Linked DNA regions of Coturnix japonica. The main gene of each other region encodes a partner of the protein of the gene in region 2 in a complex. Links are inferred from orthologs where the notes say so. Each region holds a gene or a part of one and is shown on either strand. Other genes may lie near its edges.

Evidence for each region. Proteins that work in one complex are often made in the same cells at the same time.
Region 1: EIF3I (region 2) and EIF3L share a complex: the UniProt entries of both Homo sapiens proteins name them as parts of the eukaryotic translation initiation factor 3 (eIF-3) complex. The link is inferred for Coturnix japonica from reciprocal best matches to the Homo sapiens genes EIF3I and EIF3L.

What each region holds. Positions count from the first base shown.
Region 1 is NC_029516.1:46,630,458-46,635,482, reverse strand, and holds the start of EIF3L (eukaryotic translation initiation factor 3 subunit L), read left to right. Parts: upstream 1-1,941; 5' UTR 1,942-2,033; coding exon 2,034-2,066; intron 2,067-2,159; coding exon 2,160-2,208; intron 2,209-2,285; coding exon 2,286-2,496; intron 2,497-3,142; coding exon 3,143-3,222; intron 3,223-3,495; coding exon 3,496-3,557; intron 3,558-4,862; coding exon 4,863-4,932; intron 4,933-5,025. Other genes in the region: ANKRD54 (ankyrin repeat domain-containing protein 54), read right to left, coding at 1-48, 431-502, 708-806, 1,468-1,515, 1,598-1,805. UniProt on the Homo sapiens protein: Component of the eukaryotic translation initiation factor 3 (eIF-3) complex, which is required for several steps in the initiation of protein synthesis.
Region 2 is NC_029538.1:4,527,354-4,532,446, forward strand, and holds the start of EIF3I (eukaryotic translation initiation factor 3 subunit I), read right to left. Parts: upstream 3,302-5,093; 5' UTR 3,274-3,301; coding exon of another isoform or gene 3,261-3,273; 5' UTR 3,187-3,260; coding exon 3,184-3,186; exon of another isoform or gene 3,180-3,183; intron 3,021-3,179; coding exon 2,928-3,020; intron 2,802-2,927; coding exon 2,714-2,801; intron 2,462-2,713; coding exon 2,396-2,461; intron 2,087-2,395; coding exon 1,937-2,086; intron 1,833-1,936; coding exon 1,705-1,832; intron 1,427-1,704; coding exon 1,316-1,426; intron 1,039-1,315; coding exon 949-1,038; intron 694-948; coding exon 620-693; intron 462-619; coding exon 369-461; intron 75-368; coding exon 1-74. Other genes in the region: TMEM234 (transmembrane protein 234), read left to right, coding at 3,261-3,273, 3,412-3,563, 3,848-3,914, 4,201-4,293, 4,739-4,800. UniProt on the Homo sapiens protein: Component of the eukaryotic translation initiation factor 3 (eIF-3) complex, which is required for several steps in the initiation of protein synthesis.

The sequences.
Region 1 (5,025 bases), on a different chromosome or scaffold from region 2:
CTCCGCGCAGCAACGTGGTGATGACGGGAACATGGTTCGTGCAGGCAGCTGGGGAGGGAAAACACAGGACACACAACTCAGAGGTATTAGCAAACAACAATGGAGTTTCTGCCATACAAAACAAAGGTTTTTCTGCCATAAAAAAGAGGAACAGCTCCACCATTAAGTATAACTCATGCTCAAGCTTGGATACTTTTGTTATGCATCTCGTGCTCCTCAGGATGGGCAGAGGGAGGGAAATGGATTTTCTCTAACTCTGACCTTTAAGTTCTCCTGAGGGGTGATGTGAATAAAATGCTAAGAATCCTAAGTCATTAAAGCTGGGGATGCATAGTGTGATGCAAGAGGAAAAAGGAAGATGCAGAGGACAAATAAAATGCAGCGGTCACCTCATTTCTCTGCATGCAAAGCTCATCTGACTGGCACTTACCCAAATGTAAAGGGGTGTTTCCCAGCCCATCTCTCTGATTTGGGTCAGCCCCGTGATCCAGAAGCAGTTGTACTGGAAGCAATAACACAGATACACGTTAATTCCTTTCCTCTGCCCCACTGACAGCACCTTAATGGCGTAAGAAAGGTCATTTAGCAGTGCGCTGCTGACCCACTAGTCCATGTGGCAGCTTGCAGGCTGCAGAAGGGATGTTTCTGTCCAGCTTATGCAGACAGTAAATGGAAAATGGATGACTGAAGATCCCCTTCCCACTCACCAATGTGATCATTGCCATTGCAGGAGGCAAAGTGCAGGGCTGTCCGGCCTTTGTCATCCGCAGCACAGGGGTCAGTTCCATCCTCCAGCAGTTGCTGCACTGGCAGTGCCAAGAAAGAAAAGGATGCAGGTAAGTTGAAGGGACACCTGATCAGAAAGGGGTGATGCTACCAGCTCTTCTGCAGGTAAGTATGGACCCTGCACAAGGTCAGAGCTCACAGATGAATGCATCCATCAGTTCATGAAACAAGGTGTACTGTAAAGCTGGAGGGTACAACATCACCCCATCCTGTAATGCCAGGGGTTGTTACAAATCCCGTCTATTTCCGATTGTTCACAACATGGTCTGATAACAGACAAAGGAGGAACCACGACAGGGGGCAAATGACATATGCCAGTATTGCTGATGAATGCTTAGGATCAAAACCCAGCTGATCTACAGTACATGGAAGTCAAGAGAGTCACAGAGCTGATGAGTGGGCAAAAGTTACGTACCAAAAAGCTGGAATAACAGCTGATTGCTAATCTAGCCTGAGGCAGCTGGACCCAATACAGTGAAAAAATCAATATAACAATCAGTCTCACTCTGCTCAGAGAACGGAACAAAAGGCTCAAGAGAAGCAACTTCTAGATCTTCAGCAACTAAAGGAAGATTCCTGCAAACTACCTGCACCTTCCTTCTCCTCGTCCTCTGCTGAAACAAAGAGCTTTGAACAAACTGCCTTTCCAGGAAGTGGCTTCACGTCAGGTTGAAGTCTCACCTGTGTCCAGGTCGTTGCCATTGGCAGCCTCACGCAGCCTCTTCAGGGCTGGGGAGGAAAGAAAGCCATTAGTGTGAAGCACGGAGGAGGAAGGGGGCAGGGGAGGAAGGGGGAACCCGCTCCCGCTCACCGTGGCTCTCCTTGCCCGTAGGCCCCAGGCGACGGTGGATGCGGGCGGCCCTGCGCAGGCGGCGGGCCGGGATCTTGCCGGCAGGTTCCTCTCGCTGCCACAGGACGTGCAGGTAGCCGAGGGAGGCTTCCCCCGCCGCCCCTCCCAGCGCCATCCCGGCTCCCAGAGCGGACTCCGACTCCGTCCCCGCAGCAGACTCGGCCTCCATTCCCTCACGGGCCGGGCCGGGCGGTACGGGGTGTGAGGGGAGGGGCGGGAAGGGTCGTCGCTGACATAGTGCAGACGGGCAGGCGGACTCTGCAATCAGAGAGAAAAGCCTCTGAAGACAAGCAGTTATTTTAACCAATAGAGAGACTAAACAAATTCGGCCGGCCTTCCGGAGCGTGCCGCTTGGTCCCACCTCCTCTTCCTGCCTGCCCAGGCCCCGCGCCGCGCCATGGCCTACCCGGGGGAGGACTACGACAACGATGTGCGAGCGGGGGGCGGGCTGCGGGGATGGGGGGGGGTTTGTGGGTCCGGTTCGTGCTCGTCGCGGTAACATCCCCGCATCGTGTCTTCACAGGCCGCCTACGACCCGTACGCCTACTCCAACGACTATGATATGCACACGGGTGAGTGCGCGGTGCGGGCCGCCCCGCGGGGTGGGGGCTGTAGGCCTCGGGCTTACAACCCGCCTCTTTCCCTTCAGGAGACCCGAAGCAGGATCTGGCCTACGAGCGGCAGTACGAGCAGCAGACGTACCAGGTGATCCCCGAGGTCATCAAGAACTTCATCCAGTACTTCCACAAGACCGTGTCCGACCTCATCGACCAGAAGGTGTACGAGCTGCAGGCCAGCCGAGTCTCCAGCGATGTCATTGACCAGAAGGTGTATGAGATCCAGGACATCTATGAGAACAGGTGCGGGGCTGTCCTTGCATTCTCACTGCTTAAAACCTCCCATACTTAAAGGCCCCGGGCCCCCGGTATGAGAAAGATGTAGAGCTGTTGGAGTGGGTCCAGGGGAAGGCCACCTCTGGAGTACCTCTTCTGTGAAGAAAGGATGGGAGCTGGGCTTGTTCAGCCTGGAGACCTCATTGCAGCCTTCCAGTACTTGAAGGGAGCTTACCCACAGGAGGGAACTCGGCTTTTTTACATGGGCAGATAGTGATAGGACAAGGGCAACAGTTGAAAACTAAAATTAGATGTGATAGTTTTTCACTGTGAGGCTGTTGAGGCATTGGAGCAGCCCAGAGAGGTTCTGGATGCCCAGTCCTTAGAAGTGTTCAAGGCCGGGTTGGATAGGACCCAGGGCAACTCAGTCTGGTAGCTGATTTAGTTGTCGGTAATACTGATGCAAACTAGATGATCTTTAAGGTTCTTTCCAACCCAAGCCATTCTATGGTCAGTTTTTTAACTGCTTTGTTTGCCATTCTAATTCCTTAGTAACACCAGTTTTGAAGGGAGACAGTGTCCTATCAAGTCCAAGCCCTTTGTACTGTGGTTTCTAACTGCAGCTCTGTGATGCTCAGGGATGTTTTCTCATACCCCACGTCTTATCTTTCAGCTGGACAAAGCTAACAGAAAGGTTTTTCAAGAACACCCCATGGCCAGAGGCAGAGGCCATTGCCCCACAGGTTGGAAATGGTAAGCATTTCTTTTCCACTCTGTTTTCCTTACAGGAGAATGAAGGAACTAAATTACTTTTGATGTGTTAGGGAGCTGGCATGTGGTTTTTATGAATCACTCATCTTTGCTATGGCAGCTCCTTCTGTAGATGCCTATCAGAAAGTCAGATGAATGAGCATCCTCTTTTACTTGTCCTTGTAACTGTGGCAGTAGGAACATCACCGGTGCCTCAGAGATCCAGTTGCCTAAGCTTCATGGTTTGCTGATATCCAGTTCTCTCATCTCTTCCAGATGCAGTTTTCCTCATCCTGTACAAGGAGCTGTATTATAGGCATATCTACGCCAAAGTCAGCGTGAGTATTTGCTCTGTGTCTTTTAGTTGCGCTTGGTTCTTCTGCCATCAAAGTGAACAAGTTGCACTGCTGTTAAAGCATCAGTGGTTCCAAAGTTTTGCAAAACAATATTGAATAGATTTAGGAGGTATGGGTCGAGTTAGAAATAGCTGAATTTTCTCTCTGTTAGAGCTGTATAACTGCATGACTTACAGGTCAGTTTTGTGTGTTTCTTCATGACTCTTTATTTCTTCTTCAGGCTAGCAGGTGTATGAGGGGGTGTCACAAGAGGAGTTTGAGTTACTTGTAATTGAAAGACCATACGGGGTCAGAGTGTTTTGTGGATAGGAAGAAACTGGCACCACAGAGGATACAGGAGAAGAAGACAGAAGGAATAATGGTCTATTAAAAAAACAACAACAACAAACCATGCTTCTTTCCCTTAAAAAGGCTAATTTGAAGTCAGTAGGAAAATCAGAGTAGTTCTTGGCTGTAAGAAAGAAGCAGGACAGGTGTGTGACTTACATGGTGAATGAGTAATAATTGCAGTTTTGGTTTGGACCACAGGGTGGAGAAATGGGTTAATGCAGGAGTCTTTTTGAAGTTCCTAAATCAAAGACTTGCCTGAACAGGTGAAACTGGTTGCTTGAGTTATTTTGTAGGAGGTTCCCAAGCTGCCCATGGGGTGTCTACAGGTGACACAAGATAATTCTAGGAAGAGTGATTCCCTCCTGTGTTTATCGGTCTTCTAGAGCATTTAAAACTTATTCTTTATGCAGAGGGCGGTGAGGCACTGGCACTGCTGCCCAGAGAGCTGTGGGTGCCCCATCCCTGGAGGTTCAAGGCTAGGTTGGATGGGGGCTGAACTGGTGGCCCTGTCCACAGCAGGGTCCCTTCCAAGCTATTCTATGATTCTTTGGTATGATTGTCTAGAAGCAGCTGTGTTGTTGGGATTTACAAAGACCTTCCTTGAGGGGAAGAGGACAAAAAGCTGTGTAGGTTAATAGGCAGTTCTTAGGTCTGGACAGCACAGAGGAGGAAAAGGAGACTTAAAGTATTCTATTCACATGAGACTTCATCACTTAGTTGTACTAGAAGCTACCTGGACTTGAAAAGGCAGCCTTCTTCTACTGGACAACAGTGAGACAATTTAATTTGTTCTGGGTGATGTTAGTGATTGGTGGGTGGTTGAATATCAGCTCTAATGTCACCAAAACAGATCTATTGCCTTGACTGTTGGCTGTCCTTTGTAGGCTATTGCCCATAAAGGACCATTAGTTTTGCTGTACTTCAGACTAAATGGACTGTAATGTCTTCTCGCTGCAGGGGGGGCCCACTCTGGAGCAGAGATTTGAATCTTACTACAACTACTGCAATCTTTTCAACTACATCCTCAGTGAGTTGCTGCAATTAATCATTGGTTTGTGACTTTTGGAGAAGACCGAATGCAGAGGATTAAGGCAGAGAAAGGGAGATAAACCAAAACATA
Region 2 (5,093 bases):
CAAACTCAAACTCAAAGTACTGGGGATCAAAATAATGGATGCGAACGTAGCCATCTTCACCACCACTGCTGTAACTGCATGGGAGAAAAGACAAGACAGTCACCAATCTTGTCAGGAACTCACCATGTACAGATTTAAACTAGTAAGAGATGGAATCCAAAAGCTAATAAAAACAACAGCCAACATGCACAACTGGGCATCAGTGACTCCCCACATCCAGTGTGATGGGGGGCAAAAGGGGTGGAATGGCAGAATTCAGGAAGGAGCAGGCTCCATCCCCACTGCAGTTCAGAGTGAATCCAGCCATATCCTAATCAGAACAGACCACGTTTGGTGGGGACGTGCTGGAGACCCCCAGAGATTCTCACCTCTTCCCATCAGGGTGAAAAGCAACACTATTTATCGGACCAAAATGACCCTTCACTCTGCCAAACTCTTCTTCAAAAGCCAAGTGGAAGAATCTGGGAGAAGAAAGAGGCAGGTTAGGGATGTCATCAGGGTTTCCTCAGAGAAGCTCTGCAATTCTAGTAACTCTCCAAATGCTGCCAATAGCAAGACGCTCTGGGAGCAGGAGAGAACTCCAAGTGCAGACTCAGCCCTGCCAGAGAAGAGCACCAACCTTGCCTCAAATTTGCCAATCCTGGTGGAGGTCGTGGTCACATCCATGGCCTCCTGCCCACCACCGAGCACAACCTGCATAGGAAGAAAGTCACAACACTGCAGTGCTGCTTACACCATATGTGGAACAACAGCCAGGGTAGGAGGGAGCCCAGCCTTGGGGAAGCCTCCCACTAACCCAGCACAGCCCATGACAGCAGTCAAGTCCCCTGGCCCTGTCCCACAGTGATTCTTTAGCTCAGGCTGAACTGGTGACACTGTGCCTTCCAGCTGCCTGAGACAATGCAGGAGCTGCACTAAGACCGTTAGTATGCGTGGGCTCATGCTTACGTGATCAAAAATGGGGGAGAGTGCAGCAGAGTTCACCGGTCGCTCTGTCCGGAATGTCTTCAGATGTTCCAGCGTTGTGCAGTCAAATAGCTAAAATGCAAAAGGAAGAGAGTGGCAGTCCAAGTATCTCATGCAAACCCCAGCTGCCAGTCCTCACATGAGCAGGTGTTACTTCTAAAGTCACTCCTGGGCATCCAAATGTCAAAGCTATTGCTCCAGAATCCCAAATATCAGCCCTCCCACTAAGCTTTGGCTCTACACCTGCTCAAATTCCCAAAGAGAAAACCACTGAGGCAGCCATGACTTTGAGCAGGGGTCCTGCAAGCGGATGTCAGCAATGCACCGCAGTCCCCCCAGGAGGCCTCACCTTGGCAGTGTTATCCTTGGAGGCAGTGATGAACATGGTCATGTCCCTGGAGGTCTGAATATCATTGATTTGCTTGGTGTGCTCCTTGATGTTTGAAAGCTGCTCCCCTGACTGAAGGGTAAACGAGGCAGTTTAAGTGAACTGGCAAGGAAAGTGTACAAACAACTTCTCTGCTAAAACCGACTTTAGATGTTGCTGTCAGCAGAAAGGTAGGCATATATATGTTCAGCTTTGCTGAAGAAAGCCACATACTTTAACTATCCTTCCTCAAGGCCACTGGTTTGAGCCAAAAAAACCCACATTCTGCCACATGATCACAACAGGAACGTTGCAACATCCTCTCCCAAGAGTTGCTGCCTGAGGGTGATGCTCCTCCTTATCACACTGACCTTGGCACTGAACTGGTTCAGCTCCCCACTCTCGTGTCCTGCGATGATGAATTCTCCCAAAGGGCCCCACACAGCACTAGTGATTTTAGAGTCGCTGCAGGGGATTTTCATGTAAGGCTCGTTGTTCTCTGCAGGAAGGAAGGATGGAGACACACAGACTGAGTGGCACCAGCTCTTGGCAGCCAACGCTTCCCCTTATTCCCAGTTGCAGGCACAGGCCCGGATTCCTCACCGATTTGGCTGGGGTCACGCAGGTCAAAGAAGCTCACAAAACACTGATAACCCATCTGCTTGTCCGTGGAAAACATGATGATGTTTCCTCCAAAGTCAAAGCCACACGTCCTCACTGCCGAGCTGGTCTTCACCAGAGCGAGCTGCTTTCCTGAACACGGAGCAGAAACCATCACTTCACTTGGTCTTGCATTGCAAACATTAATGAAAGCAATCAAACAGAAGTGCAGTCATAGAAAGAACAGGAGCATCAGAGCTGACAGACAGGTTGGGTGACTGGAAAGCACTAAATGTGCTTGGTGAGCAAAATGAATAAGTGCCCATTGAAAATAAGGCAAATACACAAACAGCCAAGAAAGGACTTGGGCTCTTTCAGGGGCAAACAGGCACATGTTGCACAGATCCCAGAACAGGACAGAGCTGAGTCAGATCCAGCCACGTGGGAGAGAAGAGCCTTTACCTGTTTCACAGTCCCAGAGCCGACAGCTGTTATCTGCAGAGCCAGTGAGCACATGTCGGGTGTCCCCTTGGTCAGCAGTTAAGGGATATCAGCACGTTTGCAGCCCCAAAAATCATTAGATACCCAGGGAGTATTTACACACAAGATTAAGAAGCTGCGTTACATTGAGAAATTACAGGACTTGGGAAACTTCCCAAGGAGCACAAATAACCAAGAGATGGCACAAGGGACAATTAAACACAGCAGCTGAATGGAGCCATCCGTGCTGAATCACTGCAAGGAACGAGAGCACAAACTGGTTGTGCACCCAAAGGATACAGTCAGCATCCACACACCACACGGCTCCTGTGTGCCCATTGTAGGTGCCCAGCCGTTCTCCATTCACCGAGTACCAAACGTTGACGATCTAAAAGAAGATAAAAAGGCTTGAAGAGCCGCTCTGACCAATTACCTGAGCTCGTTAATTACCCACCTTTATCCCTCCCCCCCCATCGCACACAGCCCGGTTTCCCGGTGCCCCCGGTTCACTCACGGGATCCTTGGCCACAGTGAACAGCAGGTCTCCCTCTCGGTTGTACTTGATCTGTGTGATGGATCGCTCGTGGCCCTGCAGCAGGATCGGCTTCTGCACGCGGCAATGAGGGAAGGCGCCATTTAACGCTATGCCAAGCGAGGCCGAGGCCCCGGCTGGGGCTCAGGCTGCCACCACCATCAGCCCAGGAGCCCCGCCGACCCCAGGACCCAGCCGGGACCCGCATCAGCCCGGCCCGGCCCACAACCCGACTCACCATGGCGGACACGGCGCTGCCGGAACCGGAGCGAGAGAGAAGAGGCGTGGAGTATCACGTCCGGGTCACGGGGCGCTATGGCGGCCGCCGGTGAGCTTCCGGGTTTGGGGGACGGGCCTCGGGTGGATCCCGGAGGGGCTGAGGGGACGGGGTGGGCTGTGTGAGGGGGCTGCGGGCTGATGGCGGCCGGGCCAACAGCCCCGGGGCTGAGCTGATGTTGTGCTGCAGGGCAGGCCGCCGTGCTGGTGCTGGTGTCGGTTCTATGGGGCAGCACCGGGCCGTTCCTACGGACGGGAGCGGCGGGGCTGTTGGACGTGCAGCGCCGGGGGCTCCTACGGCAGCTGCTGGCCGAGATCAGGTTCCTGGGCTGCAACTACAAGGTGAGCACAGCCGGAATCATGGGGTGTATGGGACGGGCCTTCATGCTCCTTCCTGCACTCAGCACCTCCCATCTATCAGCAAAATGATTTGTACTCTATAACATTTCATCTACCCACCTGCAGTCCTGCTCTTCTTATGGAGAACTTAGACACTTGTAGAAATTAACCCTCATATTTCACATTCAGACCTGCCTGCCTTCTGCAGACATGGCATCCAAGGCTTGCACTGCTTGCTGCAGGCATTGCAATGCTTTTCCATGCAGTGACCTGTCTTCTTTCCGCAGTACATGGTGCCATTCCTGCTGAACCAATGTGGATCGCTCCTCTTCTACCTCACCTTGGCATCTGCAGGTCAGCTCTCACTGCTTTGTCCAGTGGGTTGATCAGGGTTTGGGGAGGAGCTGTATTACTGATTCATTTGGTGATCTGGCTGAACATCAAGTATCATCATCATAGTATCACAGTCTGGTGTGGGTTGGAAGGGACCTTAGAGATCATCGAGTCCAACCCCCGGGATTCGAGCCTCCTGTGTAGCAGAGCGGCACTTCTACCACTTGTGCCACAGGGGGATTCAAGTAGATGTCTTTGAATGAAGGACGCATCCATTTCAAACCGTGTTACAATTGTTCAATTTCAGAGCTGTCCCTGGCAGTGCCGCTCTGTAACTCCCTGGCTCTGATAGTCACGCTGGTGACTGGAAGGATTTTGGGAGAGGATATTGGTGGTAAAAGTAAGTTACGCTTAAAACATTTGGCACGTTGTATTCTGCATCTATTTGTTGTTTTAATGTTGTGTGCTCCCTTCTGGTAACTGCTTAGGCAGTAGTTTGTGCAAGGAAGCTGAAAAGGAAGTGAAACTGACTTGTAAGGGGGTAGAGCTAGTGAATTTAAATTGGCTGGAACTGGCTGTTTTAAGCTAGCAGAACTTGTAGGCCTGAGCCTTCACCTAATGATGTATTTAACCATAAGAGAAATGTCCATACACTAACATTATCCTGCTTAAGAAGTTGGGAAATAACAGGAAACTTGAAAACTGAATAGTAGCAATAAGTACCAGTTTGGCTCACATCCATTTAGGCCATCTTTTTTCCTGACTGAATCACATATTCAGCAATGATGGGGGCTGACTGTGTTGAGCTGTGTATGTTCCCAACACAGAACTCTGTATCTCTGCAGGGGCTGTGGCAGGGATGCTGCTCACCCTCCTGGGACTCACCCTCTGTGTAGCTGGTTCATGACCAAGGCACAGTGAGCAGAGGAAACCTGTTCTAAGGTAACTGATGTTTGAAGAGGGGAAACTTTTGGCTCAGCTGCCTCAAGGAAGCTGTTCTGACACCTGGCTGTCTGAAAGTGTGGATCAAATTCCCTGAGTACCAGAGAGGAACAAGGCACATTGCAATGACATCCTATTTAATGCCTTGAGTTAAGGATGCTTTTTTTTCTGTGGGTGGTTCAAGGCAGGGATGATTGAATTGCCTTGTTCAGCACTGGAGGGGTAATAATTGATTAATAAATCATTGAAACAGAAAAA